Linked DNA regions of Schizosaccharomyces pombe. The protein of the gene in region 2 interacts with the protein of the main gene of each other region in a pairwise test. Each region holds a gene or a part of one and is shown on either strand. Other genes may lie near its edges.

Evidence for each region. The genes of interacting proteins can lie anywhere in the genome.
Region 1: the proteins of dna2 (region 2) and cdc17 interact in a two-hybrid assay, tested with the Schizosaccharomyces pombe proteins (one study listed by BioGRID).
Region 3: the proteins of dna2 (region 2) and cdc1 interact in a two-hybrid assay, tested with the Schizosaccharomyces pombe proteins (one study listed by BioGRID).

The regions. Positions count from the first base shown.
Region 1 is NC_003424.3:1,385,228-1,391,117, reverse strand, and holds cdc17 (ATP-dependent DNA replication ligase Cdc17), read right to left. Parts: upstream 3,234-5,890; 5' UTR 3,175-3,233; coding exon 3,092-3,174; exon of another isoform or gene 3,052-3,091; coding exon 2,544-3,051; exon of another isoform or gene 2,482-2,543; coding exon 766-2,481; 3' UTR 501-765; downstream 1-500. Other genes in the region: SPOM_SPAC20G8.02 (DDHD family phospholipase), read right to left, coding at 1-481; mitochondrial dihydroorotate dehydrogenase Ura3, read left to right, coding at 4,277-5,608. UniProt on the Schizosaccharomyces pombe protein: DNA ligase that seals nicks in double-stranded DNA during DNA replication, DNA recombination and DNA repair.
Region 2 is NC_003423.3:3,590,326-3,600,341, forward strand, and holds dna2 (DNA replication endonuclease-helicase Dna2), read right to left. Parts: upstream 6,632-10,016; 5' UTR 6,368-6,631; coding exon 6,010-6,367; exon of another isoform or gene 5,965-6,009; coding exon 3,171-5,964; intron 3,123-3,170; coding exon 2,408-3,122; exon of another isoform or gene 2,386-2,407; intron 2,361-2,385; coding exon 2,034-2,360; 3' UTR 1,966-2,033; downstream 1-1,965. Other genes in the region: tRNA (guanine-N2-)-methyltransferase catalytic subunit Trm11, read left to right, coding at 2-61; kae1 (EKC/KEOPS complex N(6)-L-threonylcarbamoyladenine synthase subunit), read left to right, coding at 841-1,421, 1,462-1,921; cell wall alpha-1,3-glucan synthase Mok13, read left to right, coding at 7,246-7,602, 7,643-10,016. UniProt on the Schizosaccharomyces pombe protein: Key enzyme involved in DNA replication and DNA repair.
Region 3 is NC_003424.3:4,012,622-4,017,057, forward strand, and holds cdc1 (DNA polymerase delta small subunit Cdc1), read left to right. Parts: upstream 1-2,428; coding exon 2,429-3,569; exon of another isoform or gene 3,570-3,618; coding exon 3,619-3,866; 3' UTR 3,867-3,936; downstream 3,937-4,436. Other genes in the region: SPOM_SPAC27E2.14 (uncharacterized protein), read right to left, coding at 42-56; msm1 (methionine--tRNA (Met) ligase), read right to left, coding at 3,957-4,436.

The DNA.
Region 1 (5,890 bases), on a different chromosome or scaffold from region 2:
TCACCGAATACAAATAATCCTCATTCACATTGACCGGTTCAGATTGACCGTCATTTTCTACAGCCTTTAAATAACTTTTTTCGATGTGCTCCGAGTCTTCAGCTGAAAAAGGTAAAAAATTTTTTGCTTTTTTAATTTCCGTCGGTCCCGTTCTTGATTTCCTAAGCGGTCTATCTACCGCATAGAACCAACGTACCCGCAATGAAGGAGCATCTGTCACAGATCTCGATAGCAAATGACGAAATGACAATTTGGGCGGTTGCACATGTTTCAATGGCCATTCTTCTGAATTATTCATAGCAATTAATGGCTTTAAAGCCAATATTGTAATTTCTTCTTGGTGTTTGCTACAGTGACATAAAATGTATATGGACGGTAATGAACACCAAGCATTCGTAATCCACTGTAAGGAGGAATATGACGGCAAAATAGAGTAAGGCTTGGTACGAACGTAAAATGGTAATACAATGTATAAAATCATATAAAAAGGATAATAAAAAGGGATAAATAAGATTCAAATTTTCAATCTAATGTTATAATTTGGAAATTCAATGTTGTTTATTATTAATTTTTTTTTAGCCACAGGGGATTACAATTAGAAAAAAATAAATAGTAGTAAGCTAGAGAAATAGCCATCAGCTAGAGCATAAACTCAATTTGTCTGTCTCTTTAACATAATTCATATTAGCCTCTTTGGGCAAATTTTAGCCGAACATTACCCTTTATTATGACAGTAGCTCTCAGCAGTAACTCTCAGCTACAAACTTAATAATCTTCGGCAGCTGGGGACCCTTCTTTTTCCTTTTGACTGTAAGCCACCTGCGAACGATAGAATTCTGAAACCTGTTCACTTGTTGTAGCATCCTCCCAGCTCTTGTCTTCCCGAATACGAATGAATCTTGGAAAACGTAAACTGATTCCTTTGTCCTCTTGAACATATCCAATTGCAGCTTTGTAAACCGGAGACAAAGATAAATCGGCAGCTAAGACTTCCCACAAGTACTTAGGCTCAAACCAGACGTCAGGCTGATGCGCAGGTACATCGCTATGAGCATAAAAATCTTTCTTTTTAGATATAACAATGTCTTTAAGTTGATTGTAAAAAGTTTCTAAATGCTCCTCTGAAAAACCAGTCCCGAGTTTGCAAATCGATTGAACTGTTTCGGTATCTGGATCGTAGCAGCCCAAAAGAAAGGCACCATAAACAGAAGTACGTTTACCCTTTCCGTAGTATGCGCCAATTACAATCAAATCCAGAGAATCTCCAACACCAGAAAGATAGTCTTTTTTAACTTTTAGCCAATGCCTGGAACGTTTTGACGGTTCATAATGAGAATCCGGGCCTTCAAGCATTTTGACCATTAAACCCTCACAAGAATCTTTGACAGATTCTTCAAGGAATTCTTCAATGGATTCAATAGACTTTTGATCGCTATGTTTAGCAAAAGTAAAGTCTCCAGTACTTGGTTGAAACATTGAGTAAAGTAGTTTTCGACGCTCGTTGAGTGGGGTTTCCAAAAGAGGTTGCCCATTTAGGTATAAAATGTCAAAAGCGAAAAGGCATGCTCGGACCTTAATGTCCCCAATTTTCACATCTTTCCTCTTTCTTGTTGCAAGTTTTTGAAAAGGTAAAATTTTGTTTTCATCACGGTCCCAACCGACAGCTTCGCAATCGAGAATAAAAGAACGAGCATCTGGTTTTTTCCACTTCGATACAGAAACAGAGATGTCCGGATAGCGAACAGACATGTTTTCAGAATTCCTAGAAAATACATAAAACTTCCCATCTTCGGTAAAATGAACTTGGGCGCGCTCGCCATCGTATTTGTATTCACATGTAAATGCGGCTTGATCAAACGTATTCAAAACTTCTGAAATTTGTTTCGTCGGCTTAGCCAGCATGGGTTTTGTTGGGATTCCAGGTGTTAATTTACAAGTTTCACGCAAAGTACCAAGTCCATGCTCAATCAAGTGAGGAACGATAAGGTCGTATGAAGGCAGTTGACAGTAAACATCTCGAAGAATCTGCTCTCCTTCAATCCTGTCTTGTTGCGAAAGTTTTTCTCCATTCTTATCAGCATGATATTGAGCGGTGGCATTTGCTAATGCTACTAAAATGGTTTTTTCGGCAAGTTGGAGGCGTAGCTTGCCTTCCAAAGCTCGAATCAAATATTTAGGTTCTGCACCTTCACAGGAACTCAATAGCCGCTTGATCACTCCAATTTTTCTATTTTGGGATTGGTTTCCGCTCATTTGAGCAATTTTTTTTAATGAGTCAAATAAAAATGGAATTGTCAGCGCTGCAGGTTTAAACATAGTGGGTTGATTTTGACGGGATGTTTGAGCTACAAGACCAAGATCACCAACTTTGTGAAACGATAGTTTAATCTGTTGAAGCGTTTGCCCTGTAGACTCTCCAATAGCCTTCATTATAATGCTTTCGCCAATTCCTAGCTCTAGTCCCGAGTAATCTGGGCCCAACTAATGTAAAAAAAGACGTTAGTACTGAGAAGGAGAAATCCTTTAAAACCAAACGTTCATACCTTATTGATACTTAAATACACACAGGCCAGTAAATCGCTGGGATGGTCGCGAAGAATTCCAAAAAAGTAAGTCCCCATTATATCAATGATTTCCAACCGTTTGCTAGTATTCTCTATTTTTGTGAATGCTTTTACCATTTCAGCAAATGTTGCATGACCTTTTAACTTATCATTGCGAGCATTGGACTCTAACGGTGGTTCTTTGATTGGCAAAGGTATTGGAGTAGATGCCCCAGAATCGTTGTTACTAGATACGGCATCTGAAGAAGAGGAGGATGAACCTAAAGTCTTTTGCTTTTTTGCCTCAGACACAATATTATTTTCACGCTCAACATTTTGAGTTCCAGTGTCGTCGTGGTTGTTGTGTTTCGACTCGTCGACTAATTTCACTGATTCGACCTTTCTCTTTTCGCTTGTGCTTCTCCCATCAACATTTTTGGAATCAGAAGACGATTGAGAAACCTCCACGTGCTCGCTTTTGTGCGAAGCAGAAGAAATGAAGAAGTTGCTATATGGGTTAGTCAACGTCTGTCTTCTATCTAACAAACCTAATGTCTGACTGCCTTGTCGACATCCGTATGTACTGATTGACTTGTTTAAAACGAGGAATTTGCGAAAATACTGTTCGCATAACAATCAAGTCAACGAGTAAAGAATTTCATAAGATTTGACAATAGTGAGGGTACACCTGAAGAACAAGTAACACGTGTACGATATTTGTAGTTTAAGGACAGTGAAAACGAAACCATTTTTTTCTAAGTCTATATAGATGAAATTAATTTTTATGATTATAACAGGATAATATAAAAGCTATTTATCATTGATATAGTATGAGTGTTCCTTGTCTCATTCATAAATACTATTGACTTAATCAACTCTCTCCCAACGCTCTGTACATCATAAATACAGCTAGAAAAAATGAGAAGTTGAATTGTATAGAAATGCTTTAGTCATACCAGAAATGAACAATTGCCTGTATCAACGAACGTAATAGAAACAATTTGGAAATACATTGCTAGAAGTTTATCAACTAGATTCTAACCATTTAAAAAAAAAAGAAATTTAAATCAACAAAAATTAAAATAAATTCCTAATAGGCTTATTCGCTAATGTGTAGTGGTTTGTAGTTTTTTTGCAAAAAGCTGTTCGCACTTGTTTTTCAAGTGGATTTTGTCCTTAAATTTTTAAAATTTTTCTTTTTCAAATTTTTTATGAAATGTTAATTCGAAAGCAAAAACTATCATAAAATTGTTTATAACCATCGCTTTATTTACAAAACTCATAGTCAAATTTCGACAGCCCGGCATTACTAAAAAAACATGTTACCTGTTACAGGTAACATTCAATATAAACATTCAATTTTTGATTTTTGTTCTTTCTCAGAGAATATACCTCTGCTAGCACTTGGAGAAATTTTTTCGGTTCTGAAATCTTTGTTTTCGTTGAAATCTTATTAGAACCAAGTTCTCCATTTTATATAAATTAACACTTCTTGTCTCTAGGTGGATAAAGAAACGGATTGACGATTCTGTTCTGATCCTTAAATCCATATTTTTATTTTTTGGTTCTGTTTATTTTTTCTTGGGTTTGTTGTGTTTGGAAAAAAACTGGTGTTTAAATATATTAAGCATAAACTATTATAAAACTTCATTTTATTATTTTATCATTCATATTTTTTTCAATTTCGTTTTGAAAATTTTTTATTTAAGCCGAATTCTATTAAAAATACTAAAATGTATCAACGATCTTTGTTTCGCGGTGTCGCTCAGGGTTTAAAGCGCTCCTCTGTACGTTTTCAATCTACCAGCTCTGGCTCTTCAAATGGCAATTTCTTTCTCCGTCATTGGAAGCTTTTGAGTGTTATTGGTAGTTTTACTGCCGGCGTTGCCATTTACGACATGTCCGATGTTCGTAGTTTTATCCATGGCCGCATTGAAATGCCTCTCTTTCATGCTTTCACCACTCCTGAGTTTTCTCATCGTGTCGCCATTCTCGCTGCCTCTTGGGGTATAACACCGAAGGATCGTGTAGCTGATGATCCATCTCTTGCCGTTGAAGTTTGGGGTAAGAAATTTTGCAATCCCATTGGTCTAGCTGCTGGTTTCGATAAACAAGCCGATGCTATCTCAGGTTTGTTGAACTTCGGGTTTTCCTATCTTGAAATTGGCTCGGTCACACCTAAACCTCAACCTGGTAATCCTAAACCACGCTATTTCCGCCTTAAGCCTGATTTGTCTGTAATCAATCGTTACGGTTTTAATTCTATCGGCCATGATGCCATCCTTGCTAAGATTCAAAAGCGCGTTCGCAAATACATTGCTAAGACATCTCCTCAACTATTAAAACAGTTTGATGCAAATCCCGCTTCTTGCACTGATCCCGCTGTCCTTGGCGTACCTCGTAGTTTAATTCCTAACAAGTTCCTTGGTATCAATTTAGGCAAGAATAAGAACGGTAACGAGATTGAGGATTATGTTGAAGGTGTTCGTACCTTTGGTAACTTCGCTGACATTCTTGTCATTAACGTTTCCTCTCCTAATACCCCTGGTCTTCGTAACCTACAAAAGAAATCTGCCCTCTCAACTTTATTGACTGCTGTTGTCAGTGAGCGCAATAAATTGAACTCTCCTCATCCTCCCGTACTTGTAAAAATTGCACCTGATTTGAACGAAGAAGAACTCACGGACATTGCCGATGTCCTCAAAAAGTGCAAGATTGACGGTGTGATCGTTGGTAATACTACCGTTCAACGCCCTAAGACCCTCAAATCAACTAGCCATGTTGAAGAGACGGGTGGTCTTTCTGGACCTCCTCTCAAACCTATCGCATTAAATACTCTTCGCACACTTCGTAAGCATCTTTCTTCCGATATTCCCATCATCGGCTGTGGTGGTATTTCTTCTGGCAAAGATGCTATTGAGTATGCTCGTGCTGGTGCAACTATGGTTCAAGTTTATACTGCTTTGGGATATGATGGTCCTGTAATTGCTCACAAGATTAAGCAAGAGATTCTTGCCGAGCTTAAGGGCAAACGTTGGGTTGACATAATTGGCAAGGAAGAATAGATTGGGATGTCAGTATATTTCTTTTAAAGAAAAAATTCAGTGTCGTTTACTGGTACATTATTATAGTAAAAATTTAACATATTATAGAAAATAATACTCACGTTCTTCTAATTAAATATTATAAATGAATTACCTTTTGTTTTGCATACCTAAGTTTGCTTGTGAAACTATTATGTCGCTAGTTTAATTCTATTATGAAATTAGTCATTCAGGCATTTCTTAGTAATCTCGTAAATCCTGCCAGTCTTGCTTGTCTTACATTTGTGAATACCTATTTACTTA
Region 2 (10,016 bases):
GTACTTTAGCAGCGCAGGGCGTGCATCCGCAAGTACCAAATTTTCTCCTGTCTTAGAATAAATTAGCAATGGATTTGTTGAGGCAAGGAAATAAAAAGAGAATAAATTTGATGTCCTGTTATCCGTTTCCCTTTTCCTCTCCTCTGGTTTTTTAATTTTAGCAACTTTTTTGGTTTAAAGAATACGAGATTGTTAAATAAATTTGGGTTTTTAATTGTTACTTGTAATATACTACATTTATTTTTCGTATAGTCATGAAGCAGCAATTTTCCAAAGCACTATTGAAATAGCATGTCTAAAACTATATAAAAAAATTTTTGGTATTTCGTGTCCAATTTACCATTAGAAAAATATATATATATATTTATATTTATATGCTATGGCTTGTTTATGAAAGCAGATTAGTATTTAAGAATTATTTATTTCGCAATAGGGAGTAAAAAAATTTTAAACCGAAAAGCAACTCATATGGTATTAGAAAAAATAAAATAAAATCGAACAAAGTCGTACACAATTTATATTTTCATGCTTACGTAGAGTTTATAAATATTTGTAGATCAAAACTAAGAGGTAAAAATATCCGATTTTTCTAAGGTGTAAGCAAATGGATTAATAAATGGTGTAAGCGAATTTATCTAGTACACACACTTTTCTTGGACTACAATATATAGATTATAATATATCGAAAAATATTCAGTTTCTTATTTTTGGGTATTTTCTATCAGAAATAACTTTAGTTGGTTTGTTTGAGCTTGCTCGCAACTTTTTAACTTACTGATACATAAAAGAACGGCATATGTTGACCAGTGAGGAACCGTATATTTATTCACGTTAATAATTATGGGAAAACCTTTAATTGCACTTGGATTAGAGGGTTCAGCAAACAAATTAGGCGTTGGTATTATTTTGCATGATACCAATGGATCGGCTAAAATATTAGCAAATGTCAGACACACTTATATCACTCCTCCCGGACAGGGATTCTTGCCCAGCGATACTGCTAAGCATCATCGTGCGTGGATAATCCCTTTAATTAAGCAAGCGTTTGCTGAGGCAAAAATTTCTTTTAAAGATATTGATTGCATTTGTTTCACAAAGGGGCCAGGAATCGGTGCTCCTCTGAATAGTGTAGCTCTTTGTGCTAGGATGTTATCACTAATTCACAAGAAACCTTTAGTAGCAGTTAATCATTGTATTGGTCACATTGAAATGGGTCGTGAAATTACGGGTGCACAAAATCCTGTCGTGCTTTATGTTTCTGGGGGAAACACTCAAGTAATTGCATACTCAGAGAAGAAGTATAGGATTTTTGGTGAAACGCTTGATATTGCTATAGGCAATTGTTTGGATCGATTTGCCAGAATCATTGGTTTGTCCAATGCACCTTCACCTGGTTACAATATTATGCAAGAAGCAAAAAAGTAAGACTCACTTTGATGTTTTATACTAATTTTTTCCTAGAGGCAAAAGATTTATAGAGTTACCCTATACTGTTAAAGGTATGGATTGTTCATTTTCCGGATTGTTGTCAGGGGTTGAAGCGGCAGCTACAGAGCTATTAGACCCAAAAAATCCGAGTTCTGTTACAAAGCAAGATCTTTGTTACTCTTTACAGGAAACTGGCTTTGCAATGCTAGTTGAAATTACAGAACGCGCGATGGCACATATCAGAGCTGATTCTGTTTTAATTGTTGGAGGTGTTGGATGCAATGAACGTCTCCAACAAATGATGGCTGAAATGAGTTCGGATAGAGGCGCTGATGTTTTTTCTACAGATGAACGTTTCTGTATTGATAATGGTATAATGATAGCCCAAGCAGGGTTGTTGGCTTATAAAACCGGGGACCGATGTGCCGTCGCAGAATCGACGATTACTCAAAGATATCGTACTGACGATGTTTATATATCATGGAGGGATTAATACTTATATTCATGAACAAGGATCAGATGAATTTTATTTTAGGCATTTATATATACATTCTTCATTATGAAGATCGTATCCAGTAAAATATTGAGTTTTTTGAAGTAGATTATCAAAATTCCAGTTGAGGTAAAATAGCTTTTTCACATAAATTGTCACTATTAAAAAACCTTTGGTTCTTTCTAATAATAACTTTAGCATTATTTGTCGTTGCAACCTGAGAACAATCCTTAATTGGAGAGCTATTCTCGTCAAATTTCGTTGCTATATCATTCTCATTTAACGTGAAAATCCATTTGTTTTTTTCTAATAATTTCAATAAATGAGAAACTATATTTGAAGACGAAAGAGTAGATAACGAGCCAAACATAATACATTTCACTTTCGCCCTGCTTAAAGCAACGTTCAAACGATGCCAATCGCGTAGCAATTCTCCAACCTAAATAAATGGTTAGCAGTTGTGTAAATAATTGGTTCAATACTCACTAAGTTTTTACTGTTGGATCTCACAAAAGATATTAAAATGATGTCCTTGTCTCTTCCTTGATAACGATCGACAGTGTTAATTTCTATTTCAGTGAATGATTTAAGATTCTTAGAAAGCAACTCCACCTGACTTTTGTAAATTGAAATTATCCCGATAGAACTTTGCTTAACGCCTCGTTCCAAGAAGGAGGAAACTGCTTGTTCTATCAAAAAAGCTTCAGTATGATTTTCTAGAATATTATTAGTTTTTGATTCAACTCCCAGAATATCATCGGTATTAAAAAATATGACTGAATGACTAGGATTGATTAACTTGTTGACCCAATGTAGGCTAGACGACGAATCGGGTAAACCATCACTTAGATGAGCTTTTGGCAAAATTAATTTTTTTTGGGATATCGTCTTGGACCCACACACCAAATTGCCGCCATAAATAAGTTCACTAGATAATGAATTAATGTCTTCATTCATACGATATTGTAGTCTTAAAGTGGTAACGGCTTCAGGATGCTTTTCTGATAGTAATTTAAATAGACTGAGCGACAAACCATCCTTAGATGTTCTTGAATTTTTTACTAAAGGAGGAAGTTGATAATGATCACCAACTAAAACAAATTTTTCAGCAAGCTGCAAAGGGCCTAAGCAAATTGGTAGAGGTATTTGGGATGCCTCATCAATTATACAATAATCGAATTTTCTTTTATTGAAAATGGAACTAATGTTGTTAGTAGTTTGTTCATTGCCGTCGCTTTCAATTACTTACTGATATACCCCTAGAGAAGAGCATGCAACTATTTGGGGGTCTTCGTAAAAATGTTTTAATGACGCTAAGTCGTCAAACGTCGTTCCTTCAGTCAAACAAAATTCTTTTACTAGGGGATGGATTTTATGAGGAGATCCTAAGCGGACGATTGTGCTATCACAACCCTTCAGTTTAATTAAAATGTTATCAACTGCTAAATGCGTAAAAGAAGTAAGAAGTATTTTCTTCTTTTTGGCAAGCAATGATCTGATTAAGCTAGAAATTGTAGTGGTTTTCCCCGTTCCAGGCATTCCGAGTATCAAACTATAATGTTCTGCAGCGTGGCATTTCTTTAAAGCTGTAATTTGATCTTCGTTTAAACATTTCAAAAATTCAGGATCGATTAATGCACTATTACAAAATTTTGGAGGCTTCAAACGGATAATCATGTCCCTTATAATTAAGGGAGCATCTGGTAATACAGAAGACATCAAGGTACCTCTTATTGATGCAATTCCGCTCGAAAATTCGTCCTTATCAATTCTGTACCTCGTATGGTTACTTCCGATAAATGACAATTTGGAATCTTCATAGTTACCAAAAAATACCTGGTTTTTTTTGAAATCAAAGTTAGGCATCTTTAGCCATGGAATATGAAGTCGATGACGAGTTCGTACTTCAATACATGAATCTTGAATATGGACTATGTGTCCTTTAGCTAGTGACCAGTGTCCATGTTCATCAGAAATAAATACTCGTTCACCAACGCTGAAGCCTGAGTGCAAGAAATTTCGAGGATAACCATTGTCATTTAAAAAAGCGAATTTGTAATGAAAAACCCTGTCATCAATTTCTAAACAAACGATATCCTCTTTAGTAATGTATAAAGGATACAGAGTTTTTCCATAAGCTTCTAGCTCTTCTGTATCAAAAGTCAACACATCGCCTCTTTTTAGTAGTAAGAGTCGTTCCTCTTGATTTAATAACTTCTCCCACTTCTTATAAAATTCAAGATCCTCATCTTTTACTTCGCGCATCCATTCATTCCATGACTCAGTCAAGCCGTTACTATTAGCTACTCCTTTATCACTCATCTTTTGAAAGAACAAACATTCAGAAACTAAACTGCAGTGATCGCAAATTTTTCGGTTCGAAATCATTTCAGGAAGGCTGCGCCTAAAGTTATGCTGTGCAAGAGAATTTCTTGTCATGATCAACCCTCGAAGTTGGGAGTTACTTGCAACCAAATTCTTGATAGTACTATTTTCCAAATAGCATAATAATGCCTGATTAGTATTGATACCATAACGATCTGAAATGAGTAATGTATAAAGCAAACTTTGAGCAAAATGGCTAATATTGTCGACATATCGGCCAGTTTTAAGCTCTAACGGAAGTGTGAGGGTTGACGAAGACTCAGGTTTTTCAGTTAAAACCACCTCAACTGTAGCATCGATATTACCTTTTAATCCAAATCTGGGTGACCATATGGATTCCTCAATATCGAGAAGCCTTGAAATGTGAATACTTTCATTGTTGTTGTCATTTTTTTTACTTATTAAATATCTTTCAACAATAGATTTAAGAAGGGGAAGCCTCGCATCAAGTTCCTCTCGAATTTCATCGAGCGACAAATCAGCAAAATAGATATCAGAGATGTATGTTTTTATTGATGTTTCAAGGTTGATATCAACATTTTCAAGGGCATCAATACCTCTGTATAATGCGTGTTGAAAAAAATCATGTAAAATGTTTCCAGTTACCATAGCTTTTGTAGGAGGTCCATAAATGCCAACCCTGTCAGATATTACGGCTTTCCTCAAACAAGGAAAAGAGCTGGCCACTGCCGTAGCAGACATTAAAATTTTCGGATGTATGATAATAAGTCCTTTATCGTTGTCAACGATAGCGGTATTATCTTTGTCAAATGTAGCTTCAACACGGATAGAATCCCCTACAAAAATACTAGTCTCAGTCCAATCACCGCGTAAAAATAACTGATGCAGTATATCATTTGCTTCCAAAATCAACTTTAATTGTCGAAAGTGATTCCCTTCATGAAAAATGAAGTCTTCGTGAACTTCTAATACTGTGTATTCGGAGGAAAACTCGCACAATTCACCAGGAGTGCATCCATCACACGAATCATCCCAATCATCGATAAAGTCGCTATTGATATCCGGCAATGAATTACAAGCTTTATCAAGAGCAAGGTTCACAGGTTCTTCATTTATTGTAGCATCAGATGCTTTTGTTGCTGAACAATAAGATTGCAAATCACCTCCCACATGGTTGACCTTAGCTGTCTTTTCTATGTCCTTTGCAGAAGCAGTTACTGTAGAATTAGGTAATTGTGAGTATTGGCGTTCAAGGGAATCTAATGCTGCCAGATCTTCAGCTTCTAAGGCAAAATCATCCTCGTCAATTTCGGTATCTGATCCTTTGAGAAGACAACTGGAATTTGCAGCAATTCTTGATTGCTCAGATGATCTTGCATTACGAATTATAGACACCAAGCTAGGGACTTTATGCAGGTTATTTCCTTGGTTTTTTACTTCATCATACGATCCGAAGCTTCTACTCTGGTTTTCCGAAACATTTGAACTCGACAAATTATTGTTTATCAGTGGCTTATTATCTGAAGCACATCGTCGTAATAGGACAGTTTCATCCGTATATAATGTAAACACATCAGATTTTGAGTTCGTTGACACTGGTTTCATATCTATAATCGTTGAGTCCGTCGTTTGATGATCCAGCAAATGTTGAGTAGAAGAGCTACGACACAAATCCTTCGAAGTTTCTTGAAAACATACTTCTAAAAGTTAAAATACACGTCTGAATACAAGAAAAATCATACCTGGCATGTCTTGGCTATTCAAGTCAGATTTCCGCGTGAAAGATTTGTCAGGCTTTAAATCGTCAGTAATTTCTTTATGAGCTTTAGTAAATGGGGAAAAAGATGTTGAGGATTCATTAAAAGTATTCTTTCGTTTAATTGGTAATGAAGAATGCTTTTTTTCAGAGATTTTAGGTGAACTAATTTCTGTAGATGCATTGTACGCAAAATTTTCCAGCTTCAATTTAGTTCTCCCATTTAGCAAATAGTTTTTCCTGAAAGGAGTTGAATTAGTTTTTTTTAAATTACCATGATTGTTGTCAGTAGTGGCACATATACCTTTCACAGATGAAGTTGTTTTCGACTGGTCGTTGAACATTATTAATTTACAAAAAAAGGAAGGCAATAAACATTAAAAAATAAAAAAGTTTGTTATAATTATACTCAAATAACCAGGCTAAAATTCAACCAGGTAATGAGCTTTGAAAAGAACGACTAAAACACGTGAAAAAGAATGATGATCAACGATGTAAATGCAAAGAAAAAATAAATAGAAATAAATTAAAATAAAGCCTTAACGACTGCGCTTATTCTCAAAATAATAGGCAATGCTCGTAAAATAGATATTTGGAGTATGGTTGTCGGAGGTTTCAGTTTTATAGATACTCGGTTCCCTAACGCCAACAATGCTAGTTAATTTATTTCCTTAGGTTTTCCGCAGTCATGTTCTCGATTGATTTTAAATAAAATTACACATGAATATGTGCCAGTAATCTTTACAATGAACCTTGTGAAGTCGTTCACAGGTAAATTGAACTAAAACCAAGTCCGATGAAAGCAAAATTATTGATTTTCCTTAATACATAATTAATAAATATTATCTGTATCGAAATTCGCTTCAACTCTTCTTAAGTATAAGCTTATTAACTGAATGACCGTTTGCATACAAAAGCGCAAACTGCGATTTAATTATAAAATAAAATTCCTTCTTAATTTTTTTAAAATTTATTTTTAAAATAGAAATGCATGTGTAAGCAAAAATTAATATAAATTTTTTAGGTTCGTTTGTTTGTTTACATTCCAAAAAGTTGACTTATTGGTTATTGTACTCTTCTCGTATTTAGAAGCAACCATCATTTGAATCGGGAAAAATCTTGATAAATTCATATATAATAGCATTAACGATCGCATTAATTTTAATAAAACTATTTTGAACAGGGCAGCTTCTTCACGTCAATTGAGGAAATACCATAAACGATGCGAAATAAGAATATTCTCGTCTTGAATTTGATATTAAGTATACCAAGGTTGGTCTTTACTGCTAAATATGATGAAAGAGAATCTTTATGGAATTTAAACCAAAATCAATCAGCTACCGATCCTCTAGATTATTGGGGAAAATGGGAAAACCATCAATACCATCCCAGTCCAGATGATTGGCAAGTGCCATTTTACACAGTTATTTTGGATAAATGGAAAGATGGTGATCCTAGAAATAATGAAGCTAACAATACTATTTATGAGTATGATATTTATGAAACTGGTTTTCGAAACGGAGGGGATATAATAGGCCTGAAAGACTCACTAGATTATTTGGAGATTATGGGAATAAAGGTAAGATAGAGTTATGCTTTTATGCTCGTTAACGAATAAGGTTATCTACATCGCCGGTACACCATTTTTAAATCAGCCATGGGGTGCTGATCAGTACTCACCACTGGACTACACCATCCTCGATCACCATTCTGGAACAATTGCACAATGGCGTGACACGATAGAAGAAATCCATCGTAGAGGGTTTTATTTAGTTCTGGACCTTACAATTTCTACGTTGGGAGATCTTATAGGGTTTCGGAAGTATCTGAACAGTACTACTCCATTTTCTTTATTTGAACATGAGGCGGTGTGGAAAAGCAACGTCATTTATCCAGACTGGAATTTCACAAATAAATATGACCCAAAGTGTGAGCTTCCCAGATTTTGGGGTGAAGATGGCGCGCCTGTTGTGATTGATTATGTTGGTTGTTATGATTCAGATTTCGATCAGTATGGCGATACAGAAGCCTTTGGTACTCATCCTGATTGGGAACGTCAGCTTTCAAAGTTTGCTTCTGTCCAAGATAGACTTAGAGAATGGAGGCCATCGGTTTCAGAAAAGTTAAAACACTTCGCATGTATGATCATTGCCATGTTAGATGTGGATGGTTTTCGTATTGATAAAGCTACTCAAATTACAGTTGATTTTCTTGCTTCATGGGCTCATTCTGTGAGGGGGTGTGCAGCAACGTTTAATAAAAAGAATTTTTTTATACCTGGTGAAGTAACTGGTTCTTCAAGTTATGGCTCAATTTATTACGGTCGTGGTCGTCAACCAGATCAACGTCCTCCGTCGATACTTACTTCACTTAATTCATCATCCCTTAAAGAAAACTACTTTCTGAGGGAACCTAAAGCGAATGCCCTAGATGCTTCTGCTTTTCACTATTCACTCTACCGTGCCATGACCAGATTTCTGCAAATGGACGGAGATCTGCAAGTTGGTCATGATCTTCCCGTAGATTTTACAGATTTGTGGAATGCTATGGCAGTTAATGAAGACTTTTATAATCCTAACACTCATAAAGTTGACCCGCGTCACATGCTAGGGATTACTAACCATGATGTTTTTAGATGGTCAGCAATTGAATTTGGATTAGAACGTTTGCTATTAGGAACCATGATAACGTACTTTCTTTTTCCAGGAGCACCCTCCATTTATTATGGTGATGAACAAGGATTCTATGTACTGGATAATACAGCAAACAATTATCTTTACGGTCGCCAAGCGATGCCTTCATCTATAGCATGGAAAGTTCATGGTTGTTATGCACTGGCATCTGATCAGTATCCAGAACTTCCTGTCATAAAGGCATATCAAGGGTGTAATGATGATTGGAATATAATGGACCACTTTGATTTTGCTAAACCCGAATTAAAAATGTTCAAGATATTCAACTTTATTAGGGAACAATACCCGGCCTTAAAATCTGGATGGAAATCAGTTAAACTAAGAAATTGGACTGAATATGTACATTTTCCTAATAGCGGAAAGACGCCTACGGAAGTTGGGGTTTGGAGTATAGTCCGCGGTGCTTTAGAGACGTTGCAGAATTTTGATGCCCGTAATAATACTGCTTGGAATGGAGACATTTGGATACTTTATACTAATCAAAATAGAACGACTACACTCGATTATCAATGCTCTTCCTCTAATTCCGTTGTGTCTCCATATGCTTCAGGTTTGACTCTCAAAAATTTAATCTATCCTTTCGAAGAATATATACTTCAGGAATCAAACAAATATTCTTCTAATCTAAAGTCCTACTATGGGTGTATTCCTAATATAGAATTCCCACCCTGGGGATTTAAAATACTTATTCCTAAAAAATATTACGTCCGATACCCACCACAAATTACTTCTTTTAATCCCCAACATGACTCGAGAATATACAATCATAATGGAAAACAAAAGCTTGTTATATCATTTACTGAAACGATGGATTGTAATGAAATAACATCCAAATTGCAATTCAGTTCGAAAACAGAAAGTGGTAAAGTCATGAAAGTTGATAAAGAAACTGTGAAATGCTCAGTTTCAAATAATTCTGCAGATAGTTACTATTTTGGACTTGCGCCAGCTCGATTTCACTGGTCAGGCGACTTAATTAACATTGCTGATGGGATTCATGAAATAAAGCTCCAACGGGTTCATTCACAAGATCATCAAAGTATGAGTGATTCCATGTATAAACTCTTATTAAGATTTGGTAAATTGGATAATCCAATGGTATTCTCAACTGCCAATCGATCTTCTAGTATATTATCACAAGAAAATGAGAAGTTATATATAAACCACAAAGCCCCAGGTGCTGATCTATTCCGATTTTCGTTCGATTATGGACTTCATTGGAGTGAATGGATCGATTACTTGTCAAATAAAACTGAGTGTACTGAGTTTGCTAATAACATTAGCCTGAAAACCTGGAAAG
Region 3 (4,436 bases), on a different chromosome or scaffold from region 2:
AGATTGGAATTTGCTTTTCGGGAATTCTGGGACTTGCTTACTCTCCGTAACCTCATTTCTTTTCTCCTGTCTCTTGCATTTCACACACCAATCCAAACAAGTTCAGCGTGAGGACTGCTTTAACATCCGTGATCGAGCCTAGACGGTTGTCCCAATGTTTAACAAGGAGCTCGATGTACTTTTTTATTTGGTCCGTTGACTTTCCGCAAACATGCAGTGAGAGAATACGGAAGTGAAGAGAATTTCGGTAATGTATCGCACGCACATATAGGAACAAGAACAATTCATATCCATCTATGTCTCTTCCGGTTTATCTGAATGATTTGTTGCTTTCTATTAATTCGTTAACCAAGCAACCACGAGGCCCCATCATTCTGCCAAATTGACTTTCACAATCATTGCACAACTATTGCTTCAAGCTCCCTACAAGGTATCCAGTGAGTATCAATATTTTAGCAGCATCGATTTGTTACTTACTGTTTGGAAAAAAATCGGGGCAGATGAGCACAAACAAAAAGCAACAAAACTCTGAAATTTTTATATAAAACATGGATTCTCAAACTCCGATCCCACAAAATCCCTCTACTGCTTTAGTTTAACCTCAGGGGAAGCGGAAACCGACAACTGTCCGCAGAACCGTTATTGGCTCGTTTGTTCCAAACTCTAGCAGTGCGAAAGTGAAATTTTTACAGTATGCAGGCAGGTCCTTCTTGCAAGACACTATAAAGTAAAAGTTTTTTAAACAATTCGACATTCCGGCGAATGTGAAAATGTAACTGTGTGAAATGTTGACTATACAAGTGCATTAAGCAAAAGATCTCATCGTAATTTTCGATCTTCAATTTATCAAACTTTCAACCGTTTTTAAACCGTATGACCTTTTAATACGTAAACAGTTTCTCATTTTTTTTATGTTTTACTGCATTAATCACACACAATAAGATTTTATTTCCATTTCATTCAAGTTGCCAAGTTATTTCTATTTAGTATATTAACAACTAAAACACAACTGGCTGGCTATGCAAGTAATTATTATTCTCTAACATAGAGATTCTTATTTTTTTTGGTACACAAGTTTATGAGTCGTTAAAACCTTTTTAAATCGTGCAACATTGATTCATCTCAGTATACTCGATTATCCCTGTGTTCGATATCCCGCAGCTGTAGCCGATACTGAATGTTAACAGTCCACAGTCTATTTATAGCTAGCTCTCTGATATCGGACAACAGGCAATACCGCTTCATTGACCTCTCGTGACAAGCGGCTTTTTTATAAAGGATGTATTGATATCTTTGAAGAAGAAGAAAATCGGCAAGTTTTTCATTTTACTTTAAACATTTGAATTTGGTTTTGCTATTCTTGCTTTTCCTTCTACAATACTTTTCCATATGGGGTAATAGTGTGACCGATCAACATTGCGTTATTTAATATTCAGATTTCAACGGAATAAAATAAAACCTCAATTTAAATTAATGTAGTTTTGATATACATCTTTAATAAGTAATATAGTAAGATACAGAAATCACCTTAACCATTTCTAGGGCACTATGTTGGCCTACCTTTCCTCCTATTAATTAACATAATGTTATTAATTTACAATCATCAAATAAATCGAAAACCCACTTTTTATGCTATAGGAAAGGGTTTGTAGTTCATTTACTTCGTTGGGGAATTTGCTTCTTTTACTTTTGTGTGATAAAACTCGATAGACTAAATATATGGATTCATCATGATTGTTCAAGGTTGAGAAAAATGTTAATTGTATGAAACGAAATAAACCCACATGATGTTTGTTCATCCTCAATTAGTAAACATTCACCTTTATTGAGCTTCTTTCTCTTTTCGTCAAGTTTACCTCTTTGTTTACATTTAAAAAAAGATGTTCTTCAAACACTTTATTGTTGTAGGTAACAACAGCTAGTCATGTTAGGAACCACGACTTTCTCATATACAACGTATTCTTACTTGTTGATCTGCTGCATCCAACTCCTTTGCTTATTCGAACCTTCTAAACCTGGTTCCATTCCATGAAATTGATTCCCCTTAACCTTGCATAGCACACCTTTGAAGTTCCTTACTCTTTACATATGCTGCTTGTGTAAATTAGTCAATAACATTTAAAGAACTGATTTTATTGAAAAAACAACAAAAGCGTTATTATATTTATTCCTCTTTTTTTTAAACAGGTGTTTTGGGGCCGTTCATAGGTTTTTTGGGAAATCATATAAATATATATATATATATATATATATTTTTTTCCGCACATTTACTTGCAATACTCGCTCGTTTTAGTAATTGCATGAATCGTAGACAACTCTTCACTCTCCATTGTTGTGAAATTTTTCGTGGAGCATCTCGATTTAATATCCTGACTACTCCTTTGGTAAGTGTTTAACTTACCTAACTGTATATATTTACAAAATAATCATGGTTGAAGTCAGACATTCAATTCCTTGTGAAGAAACTAAACGCTTGGAGCTTAGTTTAAGTCAGCAAACGTATAGTCAACAGTACGCCAGCATCTATTTCGCCCGACTTACCGCTCTTCGACCCAGAATCACAGAAGCCGCTTCAAAAAAATGGCCGGATAAACAGCGATTGGAACGCGTTTTAGATGTTAAGTCAGATGAAGACTGTTGGGTTGTCGCTACCGCTTATATGACTACAGCTCTTAAGCCAAACGTTATGAACGATGTCACACAACTTCATACAATTGTCACCACTACTGAAGAATCTCCGTATGTTAGCCCAGAAGATGCTGCTTCAGGTGATATAGAATATGCTCTTGAGGATGACTATGGCCGTATAGATTGTAGCGGAAGCTTTTTGTATGACGCTGGCGTTGTTACAGGAGTTGTTCTTGCAGTTTTGGGCCATGAAGATGAACAAGGTCGTTTCGTTGTCGTTGACGTTTGTTTTCCAGGCATCTTCTCTCATTCCATTCCAATGACTACAGATGAATCGCAAGCTCAACCAGAGTACATTGCGGCAGTCAGTGGCTTAGGTCTCTCAAATGACGGCATAGAAGGCATTCAAGTTCATCAGCTTGTAGATTTCCTAAGAGGAACACTTCCACATGTCTCTTCCTTTTCCCCTTCCTCCATCAAAAGGCTAATTATTCTCGGAAATTGCTTAGCACCTTCTATAGAAATTGCCGACTCCGCTTCTGCGTCCGTGCCCATTGGCAAGAAAAAAGTAAAAAGATATGGCTATGACACGTCTGCTTACAATCCAAATCCCACCTTCCAACTAGATAATTTTCTTGATCAAGTGTGTTCCAGCATAGATGTCACTTTAATGCCTGGTCCTTATGATTACAGTTCAACTATCCTTCCTCAACAGCCTTTGCATCCCGCTTTACTTACTAAATCAAAAGTTTGGTTGGGATCTTCTTTACAAACAGTTACGAATCCCACTTGGCTTTCTCTTGGCAATCATTTTGTGTTGGCTACTAGCGGCCAAAACATTAATGATCTCCGAAAATATCATCCCAAAAAATCTTCACTTCAATGCATGGAAAACACTTTACTATGGAATCATATCACACCTACCAGCCCTGATACCTTATGTAAGTAATCTGTACATTTTTCAAACGATATATTTGCTAATGATTTTAGGGTGCTATCCTTTCACCGACAAAGATACATTTGTAATGGAGGAAATGCCTGATCTATATCTTTGTGGTAATCAACCGAAATTTGGCTGCAAAACAGTCATTAATGAGGGAAACAGAATACAATTGGTTTCCGTTCCCGAATTTCGTAAGACTGGTGTACTTGTTCTCATAAATATGCATACGCTCAACGTAGAAATTATTCAATTCCGCCCCATGTCAGTCAAAGCAGAGACTCCAATTACTTCTTAATGCAAAATATCTTGAATATTTAATCATGTATTTATTAAATAAATAAGTTTTTTCTTACTGTTGTCATCATAATTATCTGATCTACACGTCTCATTGAGTTCTTTTGTCAAACAAATGAGAATTATTACCACTGTGGAACGTGAACTCCGTAGGTTCAAAAACGTTAGTTGCATTCTGTAGGGAGCGCTGGTTTTTAGGAATTCCTAATTGGTCTAATAACTCAGTCGACTTGGTTGGCATTATAGGTTGTAGGAGAATTCCGCTAATGCGTAGGCTGTGAGCTACTAACATTAAAGTGTCAATCTTTTCTTGAGAATCATCTGATAATTTCCAAGGTTCTTTCAATTGAAAAAGCTTAGTGACTCTTCTTAAAACAGACTGAACAAGATTAATAACCTCGTAAACACACCCACCATCTATGCTTTGCGCGCAAACAACAGGAAGTTCTATAAGTTCGTGTACAATATCTTCGTATTCTGTAAAATCATCCTTTTTATGCCATTGCTTCTGTATTTCATTGGAAATGAACAGTTTCTTCGATTGCAATCGAGAAAGTAGCACACCTAAAGA